Linked DNA regions of Alligator mississippiensis. The protein of the gene in region 3 purifies or fractionates together with the protein of the main gene of each other region. This does not show direct contact. Links are inferred from orthologs where the notes say so. Each region holds a gene or a part of one and is shown on either strand. Other genes may lie near its edges. The genes, in order: REC8, NIPBL, SMC3 and WAPL.

Region 1 (7,130 bases), on a different chromosome or scaffold from region 3:
AATTATTGGCGTCGTAACTATCTACAATGATGTCTTTTCTGTGACTCTCAGTCATGAAAGTACATCAGCCATTGTTATCCAATACAGTGAATATTAGAAGTTGGTATTACTAGAGGTCAGGATACATCAATTTATTCCATAGCAAGTCATTAGATATTTATTGGCACTATTAGAAACTTGATATATTTTAATGTGTACTCATGTATATTTAGCCACATGGATTGCCATTATTACCCACTGATCTACTGTAGTTACACCAATATATAACAATTAGCCATCCTTGTAATTAATAATTATTGTTGTCATTAATAATTGTTAGCACTCTTAAAAATAGTATATTATCTATATTGGCTATATTAACTATTAGAAAATCAATATATTTCATATGTTAATTTGATATAATAATGCATATTTAATAGATTATTGCGTATTTAGCCACATGGATGACCGTTACTACCCATTCATCTATTGTAGTTTCACCAATATATAACAATTAGTCATCCTTGTAATTAAAAATTATTGGCACCGTTAGAAAATTAGTATATTAACTATATTGACTATATTAAGTATTAGAAAATCAACACTTTATATATTTTATATAATAATGCATATTTAATAGACTTGCATATTTAGCCACATGGATGACCATTATTACCCATACATGTACTGTAATCTCACCATTATATAACAACTAGTCATCATTGTAAGTATTAATGATTGGCACTGTTGAAAAATTAGTGTATTAACTCTATTGATTATATTAACTACATTAACTTTTAGAAAATCAATATTTTTAATGTATATTCATGCATATTTAGCCACCGTGGTAACCATTATTACTCATTCATTTAGCGTAATCACACCAATATACAGTTAGTCATTCTTGTAAAAATAATCATTGAGGATTTGTTACCATTGTAATTAGCCATAATTTTACAGGTTGGGGTGTTAGGTCTATGTTGTTTCAGGGTTGAGGGTAAGTCTTAAACAGAGTTTAGACTATGGTTGTATGGGATGGTTTGGATAGGGATGACCCTGCATCAGGCAGGGGGTTGGACTAGAGCAGTGGTTCTCAGCCTGCAGGCTGCATGCGGCCCAATCAGCACACTGCTGCAGCCCATATGACATCCTGTTAATCGGGTTTTTTCAGTGGATACACAGGAAGTAAGTTCTGGGTGCAGCCCACATAACACATTGGGTGCTTGTACATAACGTGTGCTGTTTAGATGCACGTTGCGAAATGGTGCCAAAAATCACTTTTGCTAGGTTAGTTGTGTGTGAAAATACAGGTTGAGAGCTGCATGGGTGGCCCACTGTGGCAAATAGTCTGAGATCCTCTGGAGTAGAGGATCTCTGGAGGTCCCTTCCAGCCTGACTTCTCTATGACTCTATATACATTACATTTATTAATCTATGGCAATTAATTTCCATAGATATTGGGGTGCTAATTATTTATTAGCCCATATTATTACAATCAATAGGAGTGGATTTACATCTTCATTTTATGTATTTTTTATGAGTCTCTTTTTTACCTATAATATTATTATAGTTTATAGCATTCTTAATGATCTATTATTATGAATATTTAATAATATTACTGTTTGGCCATTTGGTGGCCAATTGGCTATTGACATTCATGGTTCGTGGCTGACTATTTAGTATTTGAGCATTTGTTTGATTTTTGAATTTTGTAGTTATTGTAACTCAGTATTATTCCTCATAGATTCATAGATTCATAGATGTTAGGGCTGGAAGGGACCTCAATAGATCATTGAGTCTGACCCCCTTCATAGGCAGGAAAGAGTGCTGGGAGAGCACCACCTCCCTTGGGAGCCCGTTCCAGACCTTGGCCACTCAAACTGTGAAGAAGTTCTTCCTAATGTCCAATCTAAATCTGCTGTCTGCTAGCTTGTGGCCATTGTTTCTTGTAACCCCCGGGGGCGCCTTGGTGAGTAAAGCCTCACCGATTCCCTTCTGTGCCCCCGTGATGAACTTATAGGCAGCCACAAGGTTGCCTCTCAACCTTCTCTTGCGGAGGCTGAAGAGGTCCAGGTGCCCTAGTCTCTCCTCATAGGGCTTGGCCTGCAGGCCCTTAACCATACGAGTGGCCGTTCTTTGAACCCTCTCCAGGTTATCCACATCTCTTGAAGTGCGGCGCCCAGAATTGCACGCAGTACTCCAACTGCGGTCTGACCAGCGCCTGATAGAGGGGAAGTATCACCTCCTTGGACCTGTTCGTCATGCATCTGCTGATGCACAATAAAGTGCCATTAGCTTTCCTGATGACTTCGTCACACTGACGACTCACGTTCATCTTGGAGTCTACTAGGACTCCCAAGATCTCTTTCCGCTTCCGTGCCACCAAGCAGGTCATTCCCTAGGCAGTAGGTGTGCTGGACATTTTTCCTCCCTAGGTGCAGCACTTTGCATTTCTCCTTGTTGAACTGCATTCTGTTGTTTTCTGCCCACTTGTCCAACCTGTCCAGGTCTGCCTGCAGCTGTTCCCTGCCCTCCGGCGTGTCCACTTCTCCCCATAGCTTTGTGTCATCTGCAAACTTTGACAGAGTACACTTCACTCCCTCGTCCAAGTCGCTGATGAAGACATTGAAGAGTATCGGTCCAAGGACCGAGCCCTGCGGGACCCCACTGCCCACACCCTTCCAGGTCAATACCGACCCATCCACCACGACTCTCTGGGTGCGACCCTCTAGCCAATTCGCCACCCACCAGACTGTGTAGTCATCCACATCACAGCCTCTTAACTTGTTCACCAGTATGGGGTGGGATACCGTATCGAAGGCCTTCCTGAAGTCTAAGTATACGACGTCTACCCCTACCCCTGTGTCCAGGCGTTTTGTAACCTGGTCATAAAAAGAGACTAGGTTGGTTAGGCACGATCTGCCTGCTATGAACCCGTGCTGGTTTCCCCTCAGCATAATTTTTCCTGCCGGGCTCTTGCAAATGTGAGCCTTGATAATTTTTTCAAAGACTTTGCCAAGGATGGAGGTGAGACTGACTGGCCTATAGTTGCCCGGGTCCTCCTTCCTCCCCTTCTTGAAAATGGGGACCACATTGGCCCTTTTCCAGTCCTCTGGGACCTGGCCCGTGCGCCACGAGCGTTCAAATATTCCCGCCAGTGGCTCTGCAATGACGTCCTCATTAGTTGGAGTACACTTCTTTATAATTTGGTGACCATCTCAGGGTGTTTTTCTTTATTATTAGTCATTTGTTAAATATAAGGTCATTTATTTATTTATTAGGCATTTTAAGCAATTTATTACTAAATCAGTATTCCCTATTCAACAGTAGTCATTTCTTAATGAACTTTTTTGGGATTATCATTTTAAGTCAATTGATGAAAAATCATCATTAGTGAAGGAGGGGACATTTCTTCTGTTAACAGTGACATGTGTGGCTGGCTCTGTCCTCATGGCTAGAATTCATTGTTAACAATGGCAGAATTTAACCCCTCAGAAAGTAATTAGCAATGATGGAACACATTAATATGACTTTTGTGACAGTTAATTATGTTAGCAATAATTAGTGTTAAGATATAACTATAACCTAGTCGTACTCTTCATTTAAAGTAGTTATATAGGGTTTTTTTTCATTATATTTAGTAAGTGCATATAATTTTACTTTAATTTAGAATATTTTAGGTGATTTATTTATTCTTTTTCATCGTTGATTAAAGAGCTGAGCTTCTGCTGGTCTGTTGCTTTGTTAATTGGGTTGGTTAATTGTTCTAATTAAGATTCCTTACAGCCTTCTTTAGCTAATCGCGCTGATTTCTTACAGGTTTGTAAATATTCATGAGCCCCCGCATATATTAGCGTGTAGATAGGGTTTGCTTCTGAAGAGAGAGCGCACCAACATGTCTCGCCCCTCAGAAATTGGCGGGAAGCAGCCCTTCCCCGTGATTGGACAAGACCGGGGAGACCGGACTCTTCCCATTGGCTGGGTTCGGTGAGGTCACGAGTATCCCTGGAAGATTTCTAAGGCCGAGCAGGCGGAGTACCACGTGTTTCTGCTCTCTAGTCACTTATTGGCTGGGAGCTGCCAGGACCCCGTGCGGTCTCCGGGGCAGGCAGAAAAAACCCCACGTGGGCGCGCCAAGCTGATTGGCTGAAGTCCGGCAGCTCTGTGCAAACGGCCAAGGTCTCCAGGTAGAACGCCGATTGGCTGTGACGCGACAGAGCCGCCGGCAGGAGAGCGCGGCGATTGGCTGGGACCGCGCTATATAGCGGAGAGGCAGGCGACAGAGCTGTACCTTGTGCGCTGTGGGGCTGGGCGCTGGATCTCGTCATCCACCGGCTTCATTGATTAATTTAAATAATTAATCAGCAACGTCTTTAATGATTCGGCTGCGAATAATTAATTCCCACCGCCATTATCTATGTTAGCTTCTAATTAGCTTAACATTAGCATAATTCATTGTCTATTGACACCTACAGCAACACTAGTTTTGTTAATTACTTAATTTGTTAATTAGTATTGCTGATTAGTTAATCAACAATTCCCCTACTTGTTTTCCCATTAGCTGCTGTATTTGACTGGGGTCCCTGGTAGCCCTTATACAGCCGCTCTGTCTTGGCTTTTAATTAGTTAGCTGTTTATTAGTTCCAGTTAATTAATTTGCTTAAGTAATTGTCACTAATCCTCTCCTTGTTTATTGCTAATCGTCCTATTAACCTTTCAGCACTTGCTATTAATTGCCTTCTGTCTTAACGAATATTAATTGTTTGTTAACCCCTGTTGATTATCCCAGTTATGAACCCCTGTTAATTCTTGGGGTGCTGGGTAACTATTGTCACTCTTAAAAGTTTGTTATCTCTCATTTAGTATTGTGGTTAATTCTTCATTCCATCACATTCATTAATTAGTTATTGATGTGTTTGTATTAATATTAATATTCCTAATATTATTATACAAGGTTATTTAATGTTCATTTATAGCCCTGCTTGTTCCTAGTCTGCATCTTGAAGGAGCACATCTTGTCAGTTTAGCCCTTTTAAGTTCCAAAGTCCTCTCTTGCCTCCTTTTAATTAGCCTCAATAAGGCCAACAGCTTAATATTTAATATTCTAGTTCATTCATCTCCCCTCCACCTCATTAGGGGAGGGAGGTTTTAACTGTCTCCATTACTAATTAAAACCCCCACCAGTCACTTTTCACCCCTTTTTGGGGGTCTTTCCTGTCCTCATCATCCCCCGACCCGCTTTGCTAAGTGTTTAGTCTGGGTGTGGGCTCACTGGTCAACCTCATCGACTGCCATGTTCTACTACCCCAATGTGCTGCAGCGCCATAGAGGCCGCTTCGCCACCATCTGGTAATTACCCAGCTGGGGGGGCATGGGGGAGGGAAGGATGGGGGGAGGGGGTCTCTGGTGCCACTCCATATTAATGACCCATCTCCCCAAGGCTGGCGGCGACAGGTGGCACAAAGCTGGTGAAGAGGGAGTACCTGAAGGTGAACGTGGCCCAGACATGGTGAGTGGTGGGGATGGATGGATGGGACTCTGGGGATGGCTGAATGGATGGATGTTAGATGGAAGCGGTGGGGAGGGAGGGATGGCGAGGGGCTGTGAGGATGCTGGTGGGGGGTGTGGGGCTTCTGCCTGGGAGGGCTGCATAGGGTGATGGGTCTGGGCTGACACCGGTGTTGACCCCGCTCCCTCTGTCCATGGCAGCCAGGAGATCCTGGCGTTTGTGCTGGTGCAGGTGCCGCCCCCAGTGCCTGGAGCGCCCCGGCCCCGCTTCTCGCTCTACCTGTCAGCCCAGCTACAGTATGGCGTGGTGTGCGTCTACAGCCGCCAGTGCCACTACCTGATTGGTCAGTGCCCCCTACTCTCCTTGGGACCCCTCGTTACTCTCAGTACCCCCCCAGCCTCCTTGGAGACCCCTGTTATCTCTGGTGCCCTCCAACCTCTCTTGGGGGACCCCTCGTTGCTTCAGTGCCCCTCCTGCACCCATGCATGTGTGCCTACTACAGATTAGCTCAGCTGGGCTGCGGGGGAACAGTGGGGATAACCCCCTCAGCACCTTTACAGCCCATTACAGGGCTGGTAGCACTGAGGTGGGGGGGGAGAAGGGGGGCACCCTATGGGGCAAAGGTCAGCCCCCTGTGACCCCAAATAATTCTAGAGTGGAGACAGACCCCCCGCTCTCTGGCCCCCAGCTAGGCAAATGCTGCTCCCTGATCCTTGGCCTTTACCCCACTGCCCCAACCCTGTCCCCTGGACTGCATCCAGATTTGTGCCCTCTGGCCTTGTCCTGATGAGTGCCATATGCCCTCTGATTCCACACTGACATGTGATCCTGTGCCTCTGACCCTGCCCTTGACCTCCTGATGCCTCAGAGCAAATTCCGCTCTCCAAAATCTGGCCCCACATCCCTCCCCTCGCCCCACCAAGACCCCTGGCCCTGTGCCCTCTGACTCTGCCTTGGCTCCCCAGTGCCCCCATAGTAGATCCACCTCCCCTCCCATGTGACCCCATTTTTCTGCCTCCACCTCCTCTGAACTTGTGCCCCCTGATCCCACCATGCCTTCCTGGCTCAATACCTGACCCCACAGTGACCCCTGACCCCATGCTCCCCCCAGAAGAGATCCAGCAGACCCTGGAGCGCCTGCATCGCTCCCAGCAGCAGATCCGCATCGACATGGTCGACCTGGAGCAGTGAGTGGGGACCCCCCCACCCTCACCCCACAACTCCAGACACTGGCCAGGCCTGTGGGACATCACCCAGTGTCGTCCCCCCCAACTCAACCAGACCCTGGAGGGTGGGCAGAAATGGGAGGGGTGGGGTTAGGGGGCCAGAGGATGGGGATGGGTAGGGTGGGGGAAGGTGGATGGACCCCCCACCTACCTGCTTTGCCCCCCACACCAGGCCAGGGCTGCTGCTCCCTGACAACCTGGCAGCGATGGAAGCCCTGGAAGACGCACCTGAGCCCTTCTTTGGAGTGATGGAGCCGCCCTTGCCCAGCCCCCGCTGCATCCCCCAGGTACGGCTTCCCATTGTCTTAGATCAGGGAACCAGTGGGTCGTTGAGAGAGACAACGCTGGAGAGACGGGAGATGTCATTTTATTAATGTAAATTTATTCAGCAGACAGGACACACCCCATACCTAGAA
Region 2 (7,650 bases), on a different chromosome or scaffold from region 3:
ATTTTTCTCTCTCTTTCATTTCAGGCAGAGTAACCTTAGAAGCCTTACAAATAATACAAATTTAAACCAAAAAACACCAGAAAAACAAAACAACAAACCATTTGAGTGGGGGTTTGTGGGGCTTTTTTGCAATTTCTTAGTTGGTCTAATAAAAGGTATCATCTCTGAACAAAGAGTTCTGGAGTTTTGCATTTCTTTTTATTTAACGGGTATTCTGTTAAGTTATAACTTAAGTTCTGTTAAGTTATACTTTATTTAAATACCTGCATTTATCTTCTTTTTAAAGACATTTTCTTTTTGGTCATACATATATGTCACTTAGATATTTTCTTGGACATGTATGCAATCTCCTACCATCAAGCAGGTATGAAATTTAAATACTTCTGGTTTTCCCCTACTTTTTGTTTTGTTTCATACCAAACATGCAATAACAAGAAAAAGGAAAAAAAATCTTACTCTACACACTTTACTGAGAAGTGGGGTTTTTTTTATATTTTCAGACATTTAAAGGCATTTTTCTGAGCCTAAGAAACTTATCACTAAGTAGCCAATGATGAACCAGATAATTCATATTTAATCTACAACATTGCATGTCTTAAAGAAAAAATAAATCCAAAACACAAATACACAGCTAAAATTAAAGATGTCTATAAGTGTCTCTTATTTTACATACATAAGATAAAAATATCTAGAAATGCATGTTTTTTTATTTTTTTTAAAGGCTGCTGAACATATTATGAGAGAGACTTGACAGGAACTACATAACTACAACACCTCAATTCCAGCTCATCTTACATACTTAAAGCAAACATCCTTAAAATTTAAAGTGCACAAATCAAGATGATTTAACAGCAACTAAGTTTTTGCACATACTAGAGACCTGTTTTAAGCAAACAAGGAAAGAAACACTACAACTAATGTCGCTTCCTGATGATGAAAACTACCCAAGTGCTACTACTATTTCTACACAGTCCTTTCTTTCCTGTAAACTACTGCTACACTCGGCCTCCACACATGCTATGGCCCAAAAGAAAACAGCGATTCAGTTACACACACAGAGAAGGACAATTAGAGACACTCGTGGCTCCCTCTGCAATTCATAAAGTTTAAAAATAAAAGCTGCTTTTTCAGAGTGTAAATGGTTCCTCTCCACGCATGTAGGCCTGAGGCCCTGTTGCAAACAGTGTCTAACAGGACCAGGCAGCACAAAGACAGGAATGGGAGATTAGTGGGAGGGAGGGAGGCCGGGGCTGGGGCTCAGCAGGATCTTCAGGCTTTTTAAAATTCAAACTGCTCCCTGACCAATACAAATCACGGACACGCTACTGACTACTACACGGATTTACAGCATTAAAAACACGCCTTCTACGTGACAGCTATATTAACTTCACCCTTTTAAACATGTATTGGGACGCTTAGAGGCAAGATAGTACATCCTTTATAAGTAAGACCCTAAGCACAAAACACCAAAAAGTTACTTTTATAGACACATTAGCAACATACTGTTAACAGAGATCTCCCTGAACAACTAAAAAAAAAAAATCTCACTACAAAATAGTGGGGCAGGAGATTATGCTAGGTTGCTACACTTTAGCCACTTATAAATTTCCTTTCAATATTAAATATGAAACTTTGTATTACAACAGCAGGATTAGGCTAAATTCCCCTCTAGCTGTACAGCTGAACTGGAAATATGTATTTTTTAATCAGTTAACAGTGTTTTCTTTAAATTTATTAAGATTTTCAACACTATTCTTAACTCCAGCACACAGAAATCCAAGGTTTACTTTACTCTTAAGTTTGCTACCATTTATTTATTAAAAAGGGATACTTAATCACCAGCCATTTACAGACACATTTGACCTGTTAAGATGACACCTAATTACATATTCAAATATCAGGGACACAAACAGCCAATAACAACCCCAGGTCCTCAAAGTGGTCTGTCCTGACAAGAAAAGATTGCACTTTTTAACATTCTTTACTTTTCAGCAATTTTAATGCATCTTGATCCTTAAAATACTCTGGGCCCATCTTTACCTTGATCCCTGAAATGTCACAGTTTTACACTTTGTAAAGACCCCTTTCCCTTTTCTTCAGTTTATTAGAAAGCATACCCCTGGATTTCTTCTATATTAATATTTACGTAATGTACTGAGCATGTAAACGTGGAGATTATGTTAGTAACCAACCTCAAACATTTGTCTGTGTGTATTTCCTGGGGTCTGCAGGTGCTCGCCTTGTGTCAATCATTCCACAAGAGCTAGTTTTAGGCTATAAATAAACTTGGACATTGCCACGCTAATCAATTGGTAGGGAATTCAGAAATTTGTTCTTTAAAGAATACAAATCTAGTCGCATTAACTTCTTCAGGTTCACCCTGGAGTTTGTGCCAGGAGAAGATCCCGGGGACGATAATGGCTATATTTGTTTCTGGGTATTTACATTGTCTCTCTTCCCGGCTCCTCACACCGCTCTCCCACTTCGCGGAGGACTGTCTGCGCTGGGACCGTCCCCCGGCCCTAGAGAAGTTGTAAATATGGCAAAGGATCAGGGCACGTTTGCTGCTAATTGCATTGTTTCCTCCTCCTGCCGCTGCTGCTCCCCGGGTTGAGGCCTGTCACGGAGAAGCCGCTTCGCCTCTCTAATCCCCGAGCTGGAGTGAAGGCGCTGGCCGGCGGGCCTGCGCCCTCCACCGGGCCTGCGCCTCCCGGCAGCCCGGGACGAGCCGATCTCCGCCGCCCACCCCGGGGCAGCAGGAGCGGGGGGAGGCGAAATAAACCCCTCCGCTCGCCACTTACTCGCCGCTTCCCGGAGAAGAGCGAATCCCCCCGGCTCCCGGCAGCGCCGGGCCGCCAGGGCTGGGAGGCCCGGGCCGCTGCTGGAGAGCGCAGGGAGGGGAAGGGGAGACAAGGAGGGGGGATTACCTGAGCAAATCGGCGTCTGAATCCAACGAGAATCCGAGAGCGGGGGAGAGAAATCCGCCCCCCTCCCTCCTCAGAGGAGCCGCCGCCGCTGCTGGGCCGCCGCCGCCGCCGCGGAGCAGGAGGAGGAGGGGAGATAATATAACAACAATAATCCGGGCCGGGAGGGGGGCTGGCTCCTCTTCCGTCTCCTCCTCAGTGCAGCGAACATGTAGAGCCGGGGGGTGAGCGGCCGAGACAAATCCCTTCCCCCTGAGCCTGCTTCACAACATCAACACGGCTGGGCCGGGCCGGGCCGGGCCGGGCCGAACCGGTTCCGAGGCGCACACCGCGCCGGGCCGCTGCCGCCGCCGCCGCCTCTCCCTCCGCGCGGGTGAGTGTGGGGGCGGGGGAGGGGGCAGCCTGGGGCCGGGAGTCGGTACCAAGCGGGGGGAGCGGAGGAGGAGGGGGAAGGATCCTGTGTGTCTCTCTCCCTCTCAGAACAAAATGCCGACCGGAAGTGCAGCTGCAGGAATGACTCCCTCCACCGGCGCCAAACACCAACAGCCTCCCCCTTCCCTCTGCTGCCGCCGCCGCCGCTGCTGCCTCCTCCTCGCTCGCTCGCTCGCGCAGGCAGCCAGGGAGGGAGGGAAGGAGGGAGCCCCGCTTCCGCCGCGCCGCTCCCCGCCCTGCCCCGCGCAGCGGCCGCCCCTGCCCTGGCCGCGGCTCCTCGCTGCGGGCGGCGGCCCCGTCCCCACCCCTGCTTCTGCCTCCGAGTTTCTCTTTCTTTTCCCCTTCCGAGCTGCTGCCTGGGAGTGGAGTCTGCGCCCGGGCCTGCGCCAGGAGGAAGACAGCCGGCGGCTCGTGAAGAGGAACCATTTGAGGGAGGATTTTTTCTTGGAGGACGACTTTCAGGGACTTGGAGAGGAGCCTGAGCGTGAATCCCCGAGGAAGGTCGTCTTCCCCCGCGCAGTGAGTGGAGCTGCCAGACCCGGGACACTTGCTGGATCTTAAATTCTCCTGTTTTTTCTTACGTGTTTTAAGAGGCTTGATGTCACCAGATCTGAAACGCCCGATGGTGAAAGTGGTCCTGGGTCAAGCGATTACTTGCCGAATTTGAATGATTTTTAAAACCAGCTTTCTTGAGCGAATACGGGAGAATTAAAAAAAAAAAAAATGATGCTGAGGTGAAGGGTCCTTCCTTGGGAGCTGAAAGGCTTGCTGGTAGATTTCCTGGAAGCCAGCACTGGGGCTGTGAAGGAAAGGTTGCAGAATGGGACTGCCCTAATCTGGAAGCTGCTCTGTTTTTCTCTTCAGGTAAAATGGGTTGTGAATGATCCCAGCCTGGCATGGCAGCCAAGGCTCCTTCCTATACGCATTAACCTCCTCCTTTTCTGCCATTCTTATAGTTCCTACCCAGCCTTCCTCGGGGAAACTCCATATAATCAGACTGGCATCTAGGATGTGTAAAGACTGCAGGACTGAGCCATGAAGACACCGAGCAGTTGGGCATATGGTGTTGTGCTTCTGTCAGCTCTGGATGGACCTCATTTCCGTAAGGGAGTTCTTAGAGAGCCATGCATTGGTCCTGCATCCATGCACTTGAATCCTGCCTGGCTTCTGTGTCATTTGTGTGTTCTGTGGCTACCACAGATTCAAATGCATCTCTTTAAATTAATAAAATGATCCAGTTCATAATGCTGGAGAGGAAAATGATGACTCAAAATCCATTCTAAGACTTTGTGTGCTTCTGGGTGCAGACTGAGAGAGATGTGATTAGAGAATATTGTGGTTTAGTTCCAAATATGCTAATTTTATATGAATAAATCTTTATGTACATTTTATAGACACGGTCAATTTAAGCCACATTTCTCTTGAAAACTTGTTGACTGCTATTATTAATTAAAAATAACATGTAATCCTGAGTTCTGTAAATACCCATGTGTTTAACCTCACTGTTCACTAGAGCTACTCATGCTAGCAGAATTAAGCATTTATAGACAAAGGGCCTAATAATGCTTTAATTAAAAGGTAAGAGGAGTAAACTCTTGCCCGTGCCTTCATTTGGTTTAGTTTATGAATGTAGCAGTCCTTCATATAGTTGCTTGTACACAGTTAATTCTGGGAATCCTTGTCTGTAGGCAAAATATGGAACTTGTTGATCCTTAGGCCCCAGGACTTCATATTGTTGCGCACACACATTCTTAGTGTAAGTCAGCTGAGATGTTGTTTTTGTAATTTTAAGCATGGAGAATCAGGGTGCATCAGCTTCCCCTCTTATTTATGCAGAATTTTTTGCGCAGGCAGAAAGAAAAGCAGGAATAAGGAAATCTGATTATAAAACCATAAATTTAGCACAAGGACGCAAGGCCAAGTGTAATACTTACCTCATTCTACTTTCTAACTTTGTATTACTGCAAGATTCAAGTTGATGGACTCTCTAAATGGTTTTACTAATTACCTTCATGATTAAATATTTAAAAAGAAAGTTATAGAATGGAATAAAGTGATTTGCACTAAATGCAACTTTCTTTTTCAGTATCATGTCTTTCCAACATAAAGTGTGGCTATCTAGTGTAAATGGCATGGTAATAAAATGCACCCCTGTGCCTCTGTTAGATTTCTATCATAAGCTTAACTAAGATTGAGACTGGCCCTTTTTTCATACTTCATCAGCCATGTTTAATCAATTAGTATTACTATTTAATCAGAGTATTACTTAGGAAAGCAGTCATTTTTATTTTATTATTATCTGTATCAGACAAGTTATAAATAATTTCATAGACATTTGGGCTGGAAGGGACCCCGGAGGATCATCGATTCCAGCCCCCTACATTTGAGGCAGTGGTTGCTTTGAAAGTTATGATATACAAAATTAAGCTCTTTAAATGAAAAATAACTTTTATAATTATCTACAGCAATTATTACTCTGTATTAACTTGTACAAAGTAAGATCCCTCACAATCCTGTAATCTGATACACACAAGCTAGATAACAATGACTCATTATCTCTATTTTGGGGCTCCATGTAGGCACAAGAATGAGGGTTCATGTACATATATACAAAACAATTCAATATGCAAAAATTCATCACACCTTACATGCATGATGTCCAAAAAGGAGAAAGATTATGGTATCATAGAAGTTCTAAAAACAAAATATTAGAAAATATGATAAACTAAAGGCTAGTTTACAGGTCTGAACCTTGTTCTTCCTGTAGGCCCCTGGCCTGCAAGTGAATCACAAGTTTGGGGAAATAATTTTATGCACAGAGCTGATAAGTTCATAACCTCATTCTACTCTCTTTGAAGTCAAGTGAAGGCAGTTAAGAATGTATGTTTTCCTCTAACTGTATTATTATCTTTGCTGTAAATCTAAACTATATGGAACATCAGTTAACTCTCATAATATTTCTTGTATTTTTCAAAGTGGACTGATACTTCAATATTTTTACAAAATAGTCAGAAACAAGAGATTATACACACAAGAAATAACATAGAGAAAATATTTCTTTCAAGGATAAAAGAAGAAAGCTTGAGTCATAAATGTTTTACTACTGTTTTTTACTACCAGGTGAAATAAACTTGCAAGAAGGATGTATAAAATTGTATCTATAAATCTACTATTCAGAAGCAGAGAACACTTTTTGGCCTCTTGGATTTTAGGGTAAGTCCCCAGATATTTAGTTTATGAAGCTGAATAATTAGTTACGGGCAATGTGCAGTCTGGCATTTAAAAATATCCAATATCCATGTTTTCATAGACTCTGATGTACACACTTATATTATCTGATTGCTTGTTAGATTGTTAATATTTATATTTCTCAATCTTTTCTATTTGTGCCTGGATAGGTTTTAGTATAATCAAGTTCCTCTCGTTTTAAGCTTTGCTTGCTGTACAACTTCCTATATAACTAACAGTTAAATATATATTTTAACTGTTAGCTATTTCTTATTTCTTTGTGGCCAGAATTTTTTAAGGATTGTCTATCATATAACTGTATATATAAAAGAGTCTTAAAAAATGGCTATACTTTAAAAAATGGCATTTTAAAAATTTTGTATGTATTTTTGGGAGATAAGTGTATATTGATACACTGTAAAGTGAGTCGCATAGGATCCTAAATTTAATGCATCAAACTTACTTAGATTTTGGTGTTAAGTCTTGGTTTCGACCATGAATAAGAGAGGAAACGATGAATGCTGTCTGCAAAAAATATAAATATAATATCATGTTTTCTGCATTGACTTTTATCCACAGGAGCAAATAATTGCACCATATAATTGATTCATTGGGGAATATTCAGCATTAGAAGTAAATAACCTTAAGATCAAGTTAAGTCTAAAGTGAAGCAGATAAAGAAAAAAAATGAAATAATTTGCAGCTTGTAAAATAAAATATTTGTATACCTATTTGTTTTGCATGTTTGCAACCTGAGGGTTACCATTTATTTTATCTGATGTGGGAAATGTGCATAAAATCCTATCCCATTGCAAATTTCCCTATACTTGTTCTTTGACATGATTCAGGAGTAGAAACTCTGATGTCATGGAACAATAATATTAGTTTTCTTTCCCTCTAAAGCAGTGAATCACAACCAGGATTCCTTGAGTTCCTTTCAGGGATGCTGCAGAGAGCCACACAAAATTAGCACTGTTAGGTGTGAAAACATGATTCACAAGATAAACCCAGACGCATCAAATAACGATCCATAATGTTAAAAATATTTTGAACTGTTAGCTTTCTA
Region 3 (7,131 bases):
CCTCCCCCCCACCCCCTAGACAGCTGATCACCAGGCTGCAATCTTTAAGAAACAGCATGCATGCCCTTCATTCATGGTAAACAAAATGTGTGCCACTTCCTCCTCTCTCATGGCACAGACAGAAGTGACAATTTTCACTTGATTTGGCCCCCGGAAAGTGATCTACAGCCACGACCAAACATAAGTGCATGGCTGCAGAGAGCTTTAAAAGGGCCTGATTCCACAACAACCTGAGACCTCATCGCATGAGGGTTCAGATGAAGACACTCCAAAATGGATCACCTTCATTTACCTCTGTCTGCATGTGTCATGAGCAGGGGGAGGGGGAGGGGGAGCAGGGAGGGAAGAAAATGATGGGAGTTTGGTCTGGGGTTTTTTCAGCCAGCGCTGGAGGGTGGGGCAGTTGGATTGGAGCCCCCACCTCACAGCTGAGGGCATCTGGCTTGGCCCAACGAGGTGCCGTGGCAGCTGGAGCTGGCAGTGCTCGGTATGAGGGGTTGCCGGTCCCTCACGTGGTGCACAGCCCCAGGGTGTTCCTTAGGGGTCCTGGCAGAACAGCAGCTCCAGCCTGGGAAGCCACTGTTGCAGCCATAACGGAGAGCCCTGCTGTGCCACTGCCCCTCAGGAATGCCCTGGGGCCATGCTCACTGCACTAGGGCCCAGCAGTGATCCCTCAGACCCAACACAGCCTGCTGCAGCTGCCAGGGCAACTACTCAAGCTGAGCCAGCTACACCCTCAGCCCTGCCTTAGGGCTAGGGCTGGTCCAGGTCCCAGGTGGCTTCAGCACCAATGGTGGGAGGGGGAAGGACGCAATGCGGGCAGCAGGACCAGACACCCCCTCTCCCCCACTTCTCCTGGGGCAAACTGGGAAGCACCCAGCAATGCGGAGGAACCTTCCAGGTCCAGGCTGTGGCAGGAGGCACAGGGAGCCTGTCACCCTTCCCAGGCCCCACTGCTGCAGGGGGGTTAAGCAGACCCACTTGCTGCCCAGTCTTGCTGCTGCGGCTACCATGGGAAAGTCCTACCTGACCTCCGTAGGGGGCTCTGCACCTGTTCTCCCATGGCAGTGGGATGTAGCCCTGGCCCCAGCCCCTGGGGACGAGGAGAAGCCTTACAATCCCTTAGTGACTGAGCCACACCCACTGGCCCACACCCGCAGCTCCGCACTACTGACCTGGGGCCGCACAGCGCTGGGCACACGATGAAAATAAGGGGTGGGGACTGTTCCTGCCAGAGCTCACTAAATAGGTACACGTACTATTGGCTAACCACTTAACCAATATAACTAGAGGACCTTAAATACATATTTTTAAACAGTACTGACATCCCTAATACACAGCTAAGATTCCCTGCCTTGCTAAAACACCATAACCAATGCCACCAAGCTAACAAACTCGCAGAGATGCAACAGAACAGAGCTCTTACACGAGATCCCCCAGAGTAAGTGGGAAATTGCCCAGAACAACCTACTTCTGCGATCTCTCAGACAGATAAGATAGACGGACAAAATGTACACTTTTCTAATGATCACAGATGTTGGTGCTATGCTGATTTCATTATTTCCAAGATAATTGGCAGGACTAAAATATTAAGCATGGGCATAAAATCGTCACTCTTTGCCACCAAAATAATCACTGCAACATATGTACCCTATTTATCCATGTCTACAAATAAAACACCTGGATTACAAGGAAAAAAAGAATTCCAGATTCTGTTGATTTGTTTAGTAAATGATCTTCCCTCAAAAACGAAAATTTCAGAAACGGGAAGGGAAATCTCTCCGCACGAACCAACTATTTACTTGAACAGCTTCCCTAAAAGAACGGGTTTTGCCAAGCACTTCCGAACGGCCAGCGACCTTACAATGCCAGGACCTCTTTCTTTGCCTTCAGACAAGAGGAGCCTACATCGAATTCTTCACTGGACAGCCCTACACGCTCAGTCACACACGTGAGTTCACCGTCAGTCTAGCACACCTGGATGAAATGCAATAATCCACACGTGACAGCGATTTCATTTTTTGAAGCCATTTGAAAACTGCGAATAGTCAGAAACATTTACTTCAATCACATTAATTAAGCTGGCTGTTTGCCATCTCGAATTTTTTTCTGATCCTGGCTCTCTGGGCATTTGACACATGCAAGTACCCGGCGCTGTGGCACTTGCAGGTGTATAAAGACCACATCGGTCAGTCTGAGAATAAGGCTTTGTCACCAGTGTCCTCTAAAACGGTCGTTTCATCGCCAAAATCCTCCGCAGTCCGATCGTTGCTACCTCCAACCAGCGTTGCCCGCCTTTCCCTTCAAGCTTCAGGAAAGAGTTTGCTTCTAGTCATATCTCTGACCTGATTTCCTTTCGGCCGCAATTTGACTGCCGGTCTGCAGTCGCTTCTGGTCCGGCGGCCAACCCGGCCCGGCCCGGGGCGGGGGTTGGGGACCCCCGCTCTAGCCCCGACGTGTACAACTACAACTCAAATTATATTTTTGTAATAAAACAGTGCCATTATTTGTTTCATTAATAGAATAAGGGTCATACAATGCAACGAGTCGGTAGCAAATTTAAAAATCACACACACACACACAGAGGGGAACGGACATCTGTGTGTATTAGTGTGTGTACAACTTCCCATCTATGGACAGAGATGGAGAGATGTGTACATAGTATGTAGGGGTAGGGGTGTGCGTGTGTGCAGACACAGGTGTGGACGCGCGCACGAGGCCGAGCGGCACATGCACACGCGCGTCCGGCGGCGGGGCCCGCGGACCGACGTACTCCACACACGAGCCGCGCACAACCGCGGGGAGCGCATTGTGACCAGTGGGGGAGGCCCGGCCCCGCCGTGAGGGGGTCCGGGCAGCACGCCCGACGCCCCGATGCCGGCGGGGCAGGGCCCGGGCCTCACCTGCTTGATGTACATGTCGCCCGCAGGGGTGGGAGGCCGCCGCCCCGCCTCACGGCCGCGCTCCGGGCCTGCCCCGCCGGCCCCTCACACCGACAAAATGGCGGCGGCGCCGCCTCCCGCTCCCGCTCGGCGCGCACCACTCGGTGGGGGCGGTGGGGGGGACGCCAGTAGAAGGCTCTCGAGTAGCGCCCACAATGCCGCGCGCGGACGGGCTCCCCACCCCCCCCACGCTGGGAGAAGTGGTTCCGCCCACGGGAGGGCGGGTTAGGCGCCAAAGGCGAGAGCGGCCAGAGCGAGGCCGCAGGAAGGAGAGGGGCGGGGCCTGGGGGGGGGTGAGGGATGCCCTGTTGCCATGGCAACAGACCTAGGAGCATCCCCAAGCTCCTGCTCCCTCTTCGCAGGGCCCGAGGGCCTGGGGTGCGCACCCTCGCAACCCTGGGGCTGTCAACCCTCCCTGGCATCTCCGGCGATTAGAGACCGCCCTCCTGGAGAGAAACGAGAAAATAAATATTAAATTATTGAATCCGGATGCATGCGTGCGCACGGCGGGCTTTTTTTCAACGCAAGACTCGCGTGCCTTTGCCTGCCTGACGTCGAGGCTAGGCCCCAAATGACAGATGCGCGCGTCCACGTTTTGCATCGGCGTTTGGGAAACCTCCCGGGATCGATCCAGGTCGAGCGGGCCCCGATGGAGGGCGCCGGGCGCCCGTGGAGACAACCGGCGCGCAGGGGAAGGAGAGAGGATGGACCGTGAACGATGAGCAGTGACTTCTTGGCCGAAATCGGAGAGCCCTCCGGAGCCCCACGCCCAATTTGGATGCATGAAAGCTAAATCCTTCGAGAGCAACTAGGTGCAATATTACCTGGGCCTCAGGGGCTCACCTTCGCGCGCTAAATCGTTCAGATTTCCCCGGGAGAAAAGCCTGCCTGCGTGCTAGGCGGTGTTTTCTAACCCCGACATCCCCTATTGAGGCAGCAACGATTGACGTGATACTCTCACAAATTCGAACAGCGATACCTAAAAAAAAAAAGAAGAAGAGAAAGAGAGAACTTAGAAATAATATTTGCAGGCAGCTGTCTTTCTAAGGCTGTGTGCTCACGTTTATCTGTGGGGCAATAAAGTGCCTCCGTATTTTGTAGGGGTTTAGGTTGTAGCCGTGTTGGTCTAAGGATATAGGCAGACAAGGTTCCTTGGGTGAATTTGATATCTTTTATTAGACCAACCTAAATGGTTGGAGAATAGTTATTAAGCATGCTTTCGGGTTCAAAAACCCTTCGTCAGGCTAAGGAAGCTGCAGCAGTTGGTGTGTACTCTACAAAAGCAGAGCGCTGGTGGGGATGCGCACGTGCAAACCCCCCCTGGCTGCAACATGAAAAAGTCACCTCGAAGGCATGCTTTCCAGCCAGGGGTCTGTAGCGGCTATTTTTTACTTCCCATTCTGGCCCCAGGGAAGCTGGTCCGCGAGCCCAGCAAACTCATCTGATCGACTGTTGCTGCCCCAAGACAGCTGATCCCCGCCAGGGATCGGCTGTTGCCACTGCCAGGAAGATCTGCTTCTGGGCGTGTTCAAGAGCACTAAGTCCTGACAATGCTGGGTGCATCTACACAAGACGCTTAATGCCCATTGGACTAATTCTACTGCACGTTAGCACAGCTGGCAAAAATCGTGCTAATGGGCTAATAATGTGCAGTAGCTTTAGTCCAATGCGCATTCAGCGTCACGCAGAAAACATTCATTTCCGTTAATGCGCAGTAGCTTTAGTCCAATGGGCATTAAGCGTCATATAAAAAGCATTCATCTGCACTAATGCACAGTAGTGCTGATTATGATGCTTTAAGTTAGTACCTGTAATAACTTACTGACGACAGGTACTAACTTAATGCGCATTAATGAACTTGTAGATGTGCCCACAGAGTAGCTAGTTCCCTAAGCCCCGCCATGATCCACAGATGAGGCATTTCTCTGTCTAATTTTCCTGCAGGGTTCGATACAACAGGCACTTTCTGAATACACCTATGAGCTGGAGCAAGTAAGGCTGCTGCTGCTCCACCTTGGAAGATTTGGGTCAAGTTCTTCCTCTGTTTGAAGGGCTTTAAACCTGCATTTCCCGGCTAACTATAAATTATTCTAGAATGGTTGCCCTCAGTCTCTCACTTTGAAGCTGTTCTACTTTTCAAGACATAGTTGATCATTTTCAGGCCAGAGAGACAAAACATGACTGTACCTCAGAGGTTCGTTAGTACAGTGATTCTCAACCATGGCTATGGCAACCTCAGGTGCCTTGGGATCCTTTCAAGGGTGCCATGGTATGCCACATAATATTAGCACTGATACGTGTGCAAACACAATTCACAAGATAAACACAGAGATTTCAAATAGAAATCCATAGCTGTGGTCTTGCTGAGCAGTTTCCAAAAAATAAAATAAAATAAGATAAAATGCTCAATTACTTTTTTTGTAGTAAGAACTAAGAGCAGGCATTTTTCAAGGGATGTTTAGATTTTACCCAGGGGTGTCTCCAGTCTAAAAAAGATGAAGAACCACTGAGTTAGAACATGCACTTAAAACGGGGGAGACCTGGGTTTCAGTCTTCAGTGAAGGTTTTAGTATTGTATATTCAGCATTCATTGGGGCAGAAACGTGCGTCTCTTTCCTCCTCCTAACCATTAAGCTATACGATCATTCTCTCCCCAGTTTTCTTCTCCATGAATATTTAATTGTTTTGTGAAAAAACAACAGCTTCAACAGAAGAAAGATAGGCAAGAAAATGCCTTGTTTGAGAGACAGCCTGGAGATTAGGTACGACATGAGCTAAGTGATCCAGTTAGCTCAGTGGTGAGGAGTTGCCAGTGGTTCCTAAATGATGGGTGGAGGTAGCTATATACTATAGCTCATGGCATGAGCTATATATTAGTATAGTACTACTAGTATAGTAGTAGTAGTAGTACTATACTAGTAGTACTATACTATACTAGTATAGTATAGGCATCTACACCTTTAAGCACCCAGGCCAGGTCCTCATATAATTCAGGGCAGAGTGAGTGAGTGTGCATACAGGCATGGGGATAAAATAAAGCTAAACCTTTGCATTCCCTTGATCCTGGGCTGGTTGCAAGATGGATCAGGTTCTTTGACATGAATTAATACAACCTAACCTGAGTCGGCTGCTAATAACTTCAGGAGTCCATGCAGCAGGTAGGCATCACTCAGGTGTAGTTAAACCTTTATCATGATGACCTCCTTAATCCCTTACTTAATCACCTTGGAGAAAGCTGGCAAAGGAACTGCTCTAGCAGTGCTACTCACCCATCTTCTCATGCAGCAATGGAGAATATGATCCACTAACTCCTGGACGTTTTGAATGACAGTTCAAAGACATGCTTAGAAAATAAAATCCTCCTGTTTGGGGTTAAGGCACAGAGCTGAAAGCAGTCACCTTTGATGTTTGAGATGACCGGACCGACTGATTAGCTTTTACCGGAGTTCTGAAAATGGATCTCTGTACGGGACTAGTAGACTTGGCTTTGCTGCAGTTTTTGCTATTGCTCCGTCTTTGTTCAAGACAATAACAGGAATGATGTGCACATTCTGCGAGAAATAATAGGCCAGCAAAGATTAGCCTGAGTCTGTATCTACTCCTTTATCTCCAAAGGAGCACATGATTAATTCCAGAAGCTGCTGTCAAATGCACAAAATAAACAAATTGAAGAGAGAGAAAAAATTTTGTCTTTTAATCTCTTTTCATTATAGAAATTGTGGGTGTTAATTGTGATAACAGTAAAGGCAAAGTTATGAAGAGGAAATGAGATTTTTCAGCTGGACAGTGTTCCAACAAACGTAAATCCTACCAAAATTAGTTTATATGTATAATAGAAGCCCTGTAGCTATCCCCTTTATAGTTAATAAAAAAAATCATTCAGAACATAATTGCCTGGTTCCTGTCTCTCTCAGAATAATAGATCAGTGAATTACTTCCTCTGTTTAATGTCGGCATCCCCAGTGCCCCAGCCACCTTACCTGCCCTTTGATAAAATGTTTGTTAGTGAATATTATCCATTGGAGTGGTGTTATAATACATTTTGCTTCTACCTTTAGACAAATTGTTTATTGCTGCCTCTACATAAAATACAACACATTGCACAATAAACAGTACATGTTGAATGAATCATTCTGCTGAACAATTACAGGAGGAGAAAATAACATATCCAGCACTTCTGAATGACACA
Region 4 (7,585 bases), about 53 Mb from region 3:
CAAGTCAGACCCCCTGCCTGGGCAGGAGGAAAACTAGGCTCAAGTGACCCCAGCCAGGTAGGCATCAAGCCGCTTCTTAAAGACCCCCAGGGTAGGAGCTAGCACCACTTCCTTTGGAAGTTGGTTCCAGATCCTAGCCACCCTAACTGTGAAGTAGTTCTTATGGATGTCTAATCTAAACCTACTCTCCAATAACTTGTGGCCGTTATTCCTTGTTATCCCAGGGGGCGCTAGGGGAAACAAGGTCTCCCCAAACCCTTCTGGTCCCCCCTAGTGAGTTATAGATGGTCACAAGGTCCCCCCTCAGCCTTCTCTTGTGAAGGCTGAACAGGTTCAGGTCCCGTAGCCTCTCATTGTAGGGTCTGCCCTGCTGTCCCCGGATCATGCGGGTGGCCCTCCTCTGGACCCTCTCAATGTTGTCCACATCCCTCTTGAAGTGGGGTGCCCAGAACTGGACACAGTACTCCAGCTGTGGCCTGATCAGTGTCACATAGAAGGGGAGGATCACCTCCTTGGCCCTACCTGAGATGCCCCTGTGAATGCACGATAGGGTCCGGTTAGTCCTGCTGACCGTGACCTCGCACTGTCGGCCCATGTTCATCTTGGAGTCAATGATGACTCCAAGATCCCTTTCTGCCTCTGTGCTCTCAAAAAGGGAGTTTCCCATCTTGTAAGTGTGCTGCCGGTTACTACTGTCCAAGTGCAGCACCCTGCACTTGTCCGTATTGAAACGCATCCTGTTTTTGTTAGTCCACCCTTGCAACCTATTCAGGACTTTCTGCAGTCTTTCCCTCCCGACTAGCGTGCCCACCTCACCCCAGATTTTGGTATCATCAGCAAATCTGAACAGGTTGCTTTTCACCCCGTTGTCCAAATCACTGATAAAGAAATTGAACAGTGTGGGCCCAAGGACCGAGCCCTGGGGACTCCGCTGCCCACTCCCCCCCAGGTTGAAAATGACCCATCTACCACCACCCTCTGAGTACGACCCTTCAGCCAATTAGCAATCCATCTGACTGTGTAGGCATCAATGCCACAGTTGCCTAGTTTTTTTAATGAGGATGGGGTGGGAGACAGTGTCAAAGGCCTTGCTGAAGTCCAGAAAGTATTAATAGATTAAATCAGCTATTGTTACAGTCACTTTCTGGTCAGGTCTATCTTTTGAGTCTGCACATACAATACTAAGAACAGCAAACACATACAGTAGGGAAGAAGTTGTTGTCTGCAAGGGGGGGGGGAGGGAGAGGGGAGAGCATGCGATAGGACTCCACACATACCACTTTGCATTGGGATTTTTTAAAGTTACGGGAATTTTTTTCATCGTTCCTAGGATTTGTAAGAACACATTTTAGAAAGCTAATTTTGGGTCTATAGCTGGCTTGATAAAGTGACCTTGTTTCTTATTTGCCAAGTATTTGAAAGGCTTTACCATACTTCACAACCTCCCACATACGTACAGATAACCATGGTATGACTGGCAGTAGCAGTCACAAACACTTCTGGCATCATATAAATGCAGAAGTCTTGCTTTCTTTTTCACTTTGGTCCACATTTCCAACTTGAAATTTCTGACTCGGTTTGCCCAAAAGACCAAACTGTTCTCCAACAAATTCATTTTGATGGTCAAAGCTACTAAGACTCACTCAATAATTAATCTCTCTTGACTTGGCCAAGTTGCATTCACTACACAAATGGATTTATCTTAATTGTCTTCTCTTCCAGATGTAAGAGAACAGATTCAGCCAGGGCTCAAGAGATTTACAAGCTGGTTGGTTTTCATTTTTGAAGATCCAGAAACCATTAACAGATTCAACTTTAAAACATTACAAATCCTGCCCCCATTCCTACTCCCTCTTTGCTTTTCACTCAGTCTGGGCAACTTTATTCAGTTTCATTTTCTTGTTTCCATTCCCTGCCCCCACTTACTTCTCTGACCCAACACAGCTAGTGCTGCAAACATGTGAATGCAAGCAAAACCTTTGCTATAGCTGGAAAAAACAGTCTCTAAAGCAGCTGCTTCTCCCTATGATCTGCAACACTGCGTTTGGGAGGTGGGGGAAGTACAGTCAGAGGCCGAAGTAGGCCCAGCTCACAGCTGCCAGGCAAAGAGGTGCCATTCATCCTCACTTCTTCCCTGAAACCTTCCCCCTTACACAGCATCAGAGGAGAGCAGGGCAGAGGCGGACAGACACTGAATGGGATGAGCTACTTTCTCCATGTGCAGATGGGGGAGGGGGGGAGGCTAGTTTAAATACAGGCCAATTCATGATGTCATTTCCCGTCGTCCCCACCCCCCCCAGCCGGCCCGGCGGACCCAGGTCCCGCCATCTACTTCTGACCCAATTCAGGCTCCCCACAAACAGAGAAGCGGCGGCAGCCTATAGAGGCGATGCTGCCCAGCCCGAATTAGAGGCCACCTGATACTCTGGACATGGCAGGCAGCCGGGCCTGGAAGCGCCTCCGCGGGGCGTCCAAGTCTCCCCCAATCCCCACACCCGCGGGGACTGCCGGGTCCGAGCTGGGCGAGGCCGCGGCCCTGCTGGAACTTTCCAGTTCCCTCCGCTCCGCCCGGGGGGAGAGGAGGGGGGAGGAGGAGACCCGAGCGGAGCTGGGACTGTAGTTTGGGGACGAGGCGCAGCCGGGCGGCAAGAGGCGCCGGGCCTTCCCCGCCTGGGCCTCGGTCCCGCGGCCCGGCCCGGCGTGGCGCTCACCTCCGTGTCACGCAGGATGGACGGCGGCCTGCGGCGGCCGGCAACAATGGGGCACGGCTCGGCGCGCGGTGCTCTCCGGCCTCAGCCCCGCGGACACGGCCGCCCGGGTCCGGCGCCGAGAGCCCGGCCGCGTAGGCAGGGGTGCTTGCCCCGGCGGTTCCTGCACGCCCCTGCGCCGCGGCGGCGGGATCCGGCCTGCGCGGGGCGGCGGCAGTGCGGGGCGCTGGCGCTAGGGCCCCCGGCGCCACCTCCTGCGGCGCCGCTTTCTCCGCGCCGGGATTATCGCCGCGCTTTGAACAGGGCCCTGGACCATCTCTCCGCCATTTGCCCCCCGCTCCTTCCGTCACTGCGCTTCCCACACTCGCCGCCGCCCGCAGCCAATCGCACCCCACCTTACTCAACCGACCCGCACGCCGCCGCGCATGCGCTTCCCCGCGTAGCTGTCACGTCAGCACGCGTGCGCGGCCGCGCGAGGAGCTGCCGGGACTTGTGGTTCCACAGGGCGGGGCCGCCCTCATTTGGAACTAGGAGGGCGGGGCCTGGGGAAAGCGCCTGCTTCCGGTGTCTGCCTCGCACGTGCTGCTGGTGGTACAGTCTGCGCCGTCCCCGCTTTTGCCTTTTTGGGGCTTGGCCCAAGCAGTCCCCAGGGGCATGGGCGCCCCGCGGAGCCGGGGATTTCCGTACACGCCTGCAACCGTGGAGGGGGACCCCGCGCGGGGCCGGGCTCCTTCGGGGCGGGCAGCGGCCGGGGCCCCGGGCGGCCTGGTAGGGGCTGCGACGCTCGTTCTTTTCCCTCTGGAAAGGCGACGTCTGTTTGCAGCCTTAGCACCGAGGAAAGCAAAAGCGAGCACCCGCGTTTCCACGGAGCTGGGAATTCAGAGCCAGACAAGCCTGGGACACTCACCTGCAGACTGTAAAAAATCATATTTAAAAAAAAGGAAATTACAGAAGCACAACTCAGTAGGAGGCTTCACAAGCACCTGCACCGGTTCTGAATAACTTTAAGAAAATGAGCAGGAGGGGAATGGAAGGTAACTGTATCCTTTAGTGCTTGGTTAAGTGACAACATGAAACAGTTAAAATGTGTGCAGACCCGCTTTGTTACTCAGTTTAAAAGAAACTTGATCTTAGAAATGATTGTCGTGCAATTAAAGCACCAAAACAACCTTAACTCCTCTGGAGTAAAATGCAAAAAGAGAGAGACAGTATTATCCAACCATATGATGCCAATCTAACTGCAAAAATTTCAGCCTTATGAGCAGCTATAGCCTGTCCTCAGCACACATTTTATAAAAAGTGGCAATGTGGAAGACAATGCCAAAGGCCTTCATTCCACATTTTTATCAAGACATGCCACTGTTTCCACTAGTACTAGTAAAGACCAAACAATAACTACATACTTCTGAGGGATAAGTAATGATGTTAAAACCCTCTAAAAAAAAGTAAAGGTTAGTGTAGTGACAAAACATACAGATTGTATCAAACAAACATACAGTAGTATCCAAATTTAAAAACAATCTGATTCTAGAAGGTGAAAGATTTTTTAAAGTCTTTATTTAGTTGCTCATATTTCTCATAAAGGATGGCGCTTTACTGATACAATGTTTTTACAAACTTAAGATATCCACAGTTCAAGCCTAGTCCTAAACTTCTCAACCCCCTGAGAAAAAGACTTGGAGGCAAAACTCTTCTACAGCAGAGAGACCTGATTTTGCAAATTCTGAGTAATTTGACTAGGGATTTTCAGGATAAATCTACATATAAATTAAAGAGGAAAGATGGAAGACTGCTATTACTAAACCAAGAGGGAAGGGAGTGATTTGGGAGATTAGCTAAGGATTGTGGTCAGGGATTTCTTTTTGCTCTTTTTCCTCTTTCATTCATCCAGGTTTATTTAAATCCATTTTAAAAGCTTATTTAAAAGAATTAAAAGGCTACATTTCTTTCTTCTTTGCAAACTCAACAAATGAAACAAATAGGCTTGAATTTCTGTGTTTACTTATAACCTTCAGTCACAGTCATGATATGTTAATAGTTTGTAGGGTTTGTGAGCCACACACACTCTTTAGAGCAGGGGTGGGCAAAATGCGGACCACCAAGCCATTCTATCCGGCTTGCAGGGCCCCTAAAAATTTAGAAAATTAATATTAAGCTGCCCTGGGCTGCCTGTCATGTGGCTCTCAATGGCTTGCCAAAACTCAGTAAGCAGCCCTCTGTCCAAAATAATTGCCCGTCCCTGCTTTAGGGAGATGACACAATTGGTCTTGGAGAAGAAAAAAGGTAATTAGGAATATATTGGGGTCATGTGATTAAGAGCACAAGTATAATTTGGGTAATAAAGGGAGACATTCATTTTGGATGACAATAAGTTTAAAAGGTTAAAGATAAAGATCTTTAACAGTTTGGTTGATAGCTTTTGAAGAACTGGTGGCAGTAAGTTACAATAAAAAAAGTAACATAAAAGTGAGTTCATTTTTTCTGGTTGGTTATCTTGTGTGGAAGCTAATAAGTGGTCTGTTTAAAATTCAGGATTCTAATTAACACTGACCCATGATAAATTTTTGTTAGTTCTGGAGAGGCAAGGGTTTTTTGGGGTGATATCTTGTATTGGACCAACTACATGGTTGGGATAAATTTAGACAAACTTTCAAATGCAAGGCATCAGATCCTGAAGAATCCCTTCATCATTGTTAAAAGCTTAGTATGTGGAAGACCAGAAGAACTGAAGATCCTCATCAGCTATAACTTGATTTAAAACAACCTCTTTCTAAGCTCTCATGTACCTGAGCCCCTGTGGACAAGTTCCATTTCTGGTCTTTGTGAGAGAGTCCCACGCATCTTGTATTCCAAAGCATTACATATTCACTGAAGGGTCCTGATGGGAGTTGTGGCAGACAGGGGATAAATTTAATCTAACTTATGCACTGATGGTCCTTTCTTCTTTTTTGGTAGGCATTCAGCAGATGGCTGTAGGCCTAGCTAATTAAAATAAAAAGCTTTACAATTTTATAATAATAACTTAAGGATAAAGGGAAAATGTTCAAAAGAACCAAAGTGACTCACTGCCTTCCAATGGGATTTAAACACACAAACTACTTCAAACACTTCTGAAATTTTTATACAGAGTAACTTTGAAAATGTGGCTCTCTACATTAAGCAGTATTGCTTCTAATATATCTGTATAGCCTAAATATGTGCAAGGACCAATAAAAGGCAAATAGAACCTAAAACCTGTAGACTTTATTTTTTGTCTGTAGAAAAAGTTCAATTAGGTTTGGATTACCAGGCATCTCTATTTTGTTGGGTGTGACCCCCATCTCCTACTAGGTGTCCTCTTCCTGAAAACCCCCCCATAAAAGGTAAATGTTTAATTACCAGATGTTTTTCATTTCTTCTAGCAAGTCAGGTAGCAGTTTAAATCACTCAGCCTCTCCTCAGAGCATTAAGGCTCAGTATCCTCTTAGTGGGCATATCTACAAGAGAAGCTACATACACAGTAGACTAATTCTAGTCATTAGCATGTCACAGCAAAAGTCATGCTAATGACCTAATGCACAGCAGAATTAGTCTTCTTAATAGCATCACAAAAAATTGTGCGCTGGTGCTACTTTGCAGTAGCACTGGTTCCTGTGCATTCAGTTAGTACCTGTTATTATCAGAGATCCAGGTTTTCTCTGATTAAAAAAAAAATCCCCAATTTTCAGATTTAAAAAAAGTAGCCCCAAATCCACATTTTTTTCCATGATTAAAATGAAACACCACTAATATATAGATAGCTATATAGTGGTGTTTCATTTTAATCACGGGGAAAAGTGGATTTGGGGTTACTTTATTTAATCTGAAAATTGGAGATTTTTTTATCAGAGACAACCAGGATTCCTGGTTTTTACAAATACTAAACTGAATGTGCAGTAACCCAAGGATGCTGAGAGAGTTGGTTCATGAGCTTGCACACTGGTTGTTATCTTTGCAAACTCGTGGTGATTGAGAGAGGTCTTAGACAATTGGAAAAGGGCAAATATAGTGCCCATATTTAAGAAAGGGAAAAAGGAGATTCTAGGGAACTACAGACTAGTCAGCCTCACCTCAGTCCCTGGAAAAATCATGGAGTAGATCCTCAGAGAAGCCATTTCTAAACACTTGGAGGAGAAGGTGATTAGGCACAGTCAGCATGGATTCACCAAGGGCAATCACCAACCAGATTGACTTGTTGTGGCAGAGCACCTTTGAGGATGCTCGCCACTTGAGAGCTCTCACAGGCTCTGAGGGGAGCCTGCTTTGGAGGAGCAGCAGGTGAAACCTCCCCCAGATACCATTTTAAGAGGGGAGGTGTGTGGCAGGGCATTGTAGATGCCTGCCACTTTAAGGGCCTGATCCAAGCTGCCAGCAGGTGCCTGATTGTGGCAGCCATTTTTAGATCCCTGGCTGCCTTTATAACCAGATCAGTTCCCTGCTGGCAGGGAGGTAGTAACATTGCCTGGCTGTGAGGCTTCATGTATCATCCTGGAGGTAAGGGAGGAGCTGTAGGGGAGGGCTAGCAGGCTCCTGGTTCTGGGCATGCCCTAAAACTGCACCCTGCCAGGAGTGGGTGGCTTGGTGGGGCTCTCAGTGGCATGGGATTACCCAGGAAATGCCAGGCCAGTTATCACCCTGGTGAGAGGCGGGTAGGGGTGCCTTAATTCTAGTGCTCACCTTTGTGTGGTTCTGGTAACACCAGGGGTAGTGAGGGCCGGGCATGGCTATGGCCACCTGAGCCCTGAGGGGTACAAGACCCCAAGAGACCCTAAGGAGGGAAACTGAGGGCCAGGCACAACTATGGCCACCTGAACCCTGAGGGCTTTGCTTGGTTGCCTTCCTTGCTGGGCTGTGCCCCA

The links.
Region 1: the proteins of SMC3 (region 3) and REC8 purify together in Homo sapiens (affinity purification with mass spectrometry; 3 studies listed by BioGRID and IntAct, with this or other methods). This does not show direct contact. The link is inferred for Alligator mississippiensis from reciprocal best matches to the Homo sapiens genes SMC3 and REC8.
Region 2: the proteins of SMC3 (region 3) and NIPBL purify together in Homo sapiens (affinity purification with western blotting; 4 studies listed by BioGRID, with this or other methods). This does not show direct contact. The link is inferred for Alligator mississippiensis from reciprocal best matches to the Homo sapiens genes SMC3 and NIPBL.
Region 4: the proteins of SMC3 (region 3) and WAPL purify together in Homo sapiens (affinity purification with mass spectrometry; 7 studies listed by BioGRID and IntAct, with this or other methods). This does not show direct contact. The link is inferred for Alligator mississippiensis from reciprocal best matches to the Homo sapiens genes SMC3 and WAPL.

The regions. Positions count from the first base shown.
Region 1 is NC_081830.1:7,827,768-7,834,897, forward strand, and holds the start of REC8 (meiotic recombination protein REC8 homolog), read left to right. Parts: upstream 1-4,110; 5' UTR 4,111-5,272; coding exon 5,273-5,328; intron 5,329-5,419; coding exon 5,420-5,488; intron 5,489-5,688; coding exon 5,689-5,831; intron 5,832-6,599; coding exon 6,600-6,675; intron 6,676-6,886; coding exon 6,887-7,001; intron 7,002-7,130. UniProt on the Homo sapiens protein: Required during meiosis for separation of sister chromatids and homologous chromosomes.
Region 2 is NC_081826.1:278,648,601-278,656,250, forward strand, and holds the start of NIPBL (nipped-B-like protein), read right to left. Parts: upstream 3,017-7,650; 5' UTR 2,928-3,016; intron 1-2,927. UniProt on the Homo sapiens protein: Plays an important role in the loading of the cohesin complex on to DNA. Forms a heterodimeric complex (also known as cohesin loading complex) with MAU2/SCC4 which mediates the loading of the cohesin complex onto chromatin.
Region 3 is NC_081829.1:94,924,126-94,931,256, forward strand, and holds the start of SMC3 (structural maintenance of chromosomes protein 3), read right to left. Parts: upstream 3,017-7,131; 5' UTR 2,919-3,016; coding exon 2,904-2,918; intron 1-2,903. UniProt on the Homo sapiens protein: Central component of cohesin, a complex required for chromosome cohesion during the cell cycle. The cohesin complex may form a large proteinaceous ring within which sister chromatids can be trapped.
Region 4 is NC_081829.1:42,183,538-42,191,122, reverse strand, and holds the start of WAPL (wings apart-like protein homolog), read right to left. Parts: upstream 3,020-7,585; 5' UTR 2,712-3,019; intron 1-2,711. UniProt on the Homo sapiens protein: Regulator of sister chromatid cohesion in mitosis which negatively regulates cohesin association with chromatin. Involved in both sister chromatid cohesion during interphase and sister-chromatid resolution during early stages of mitosis.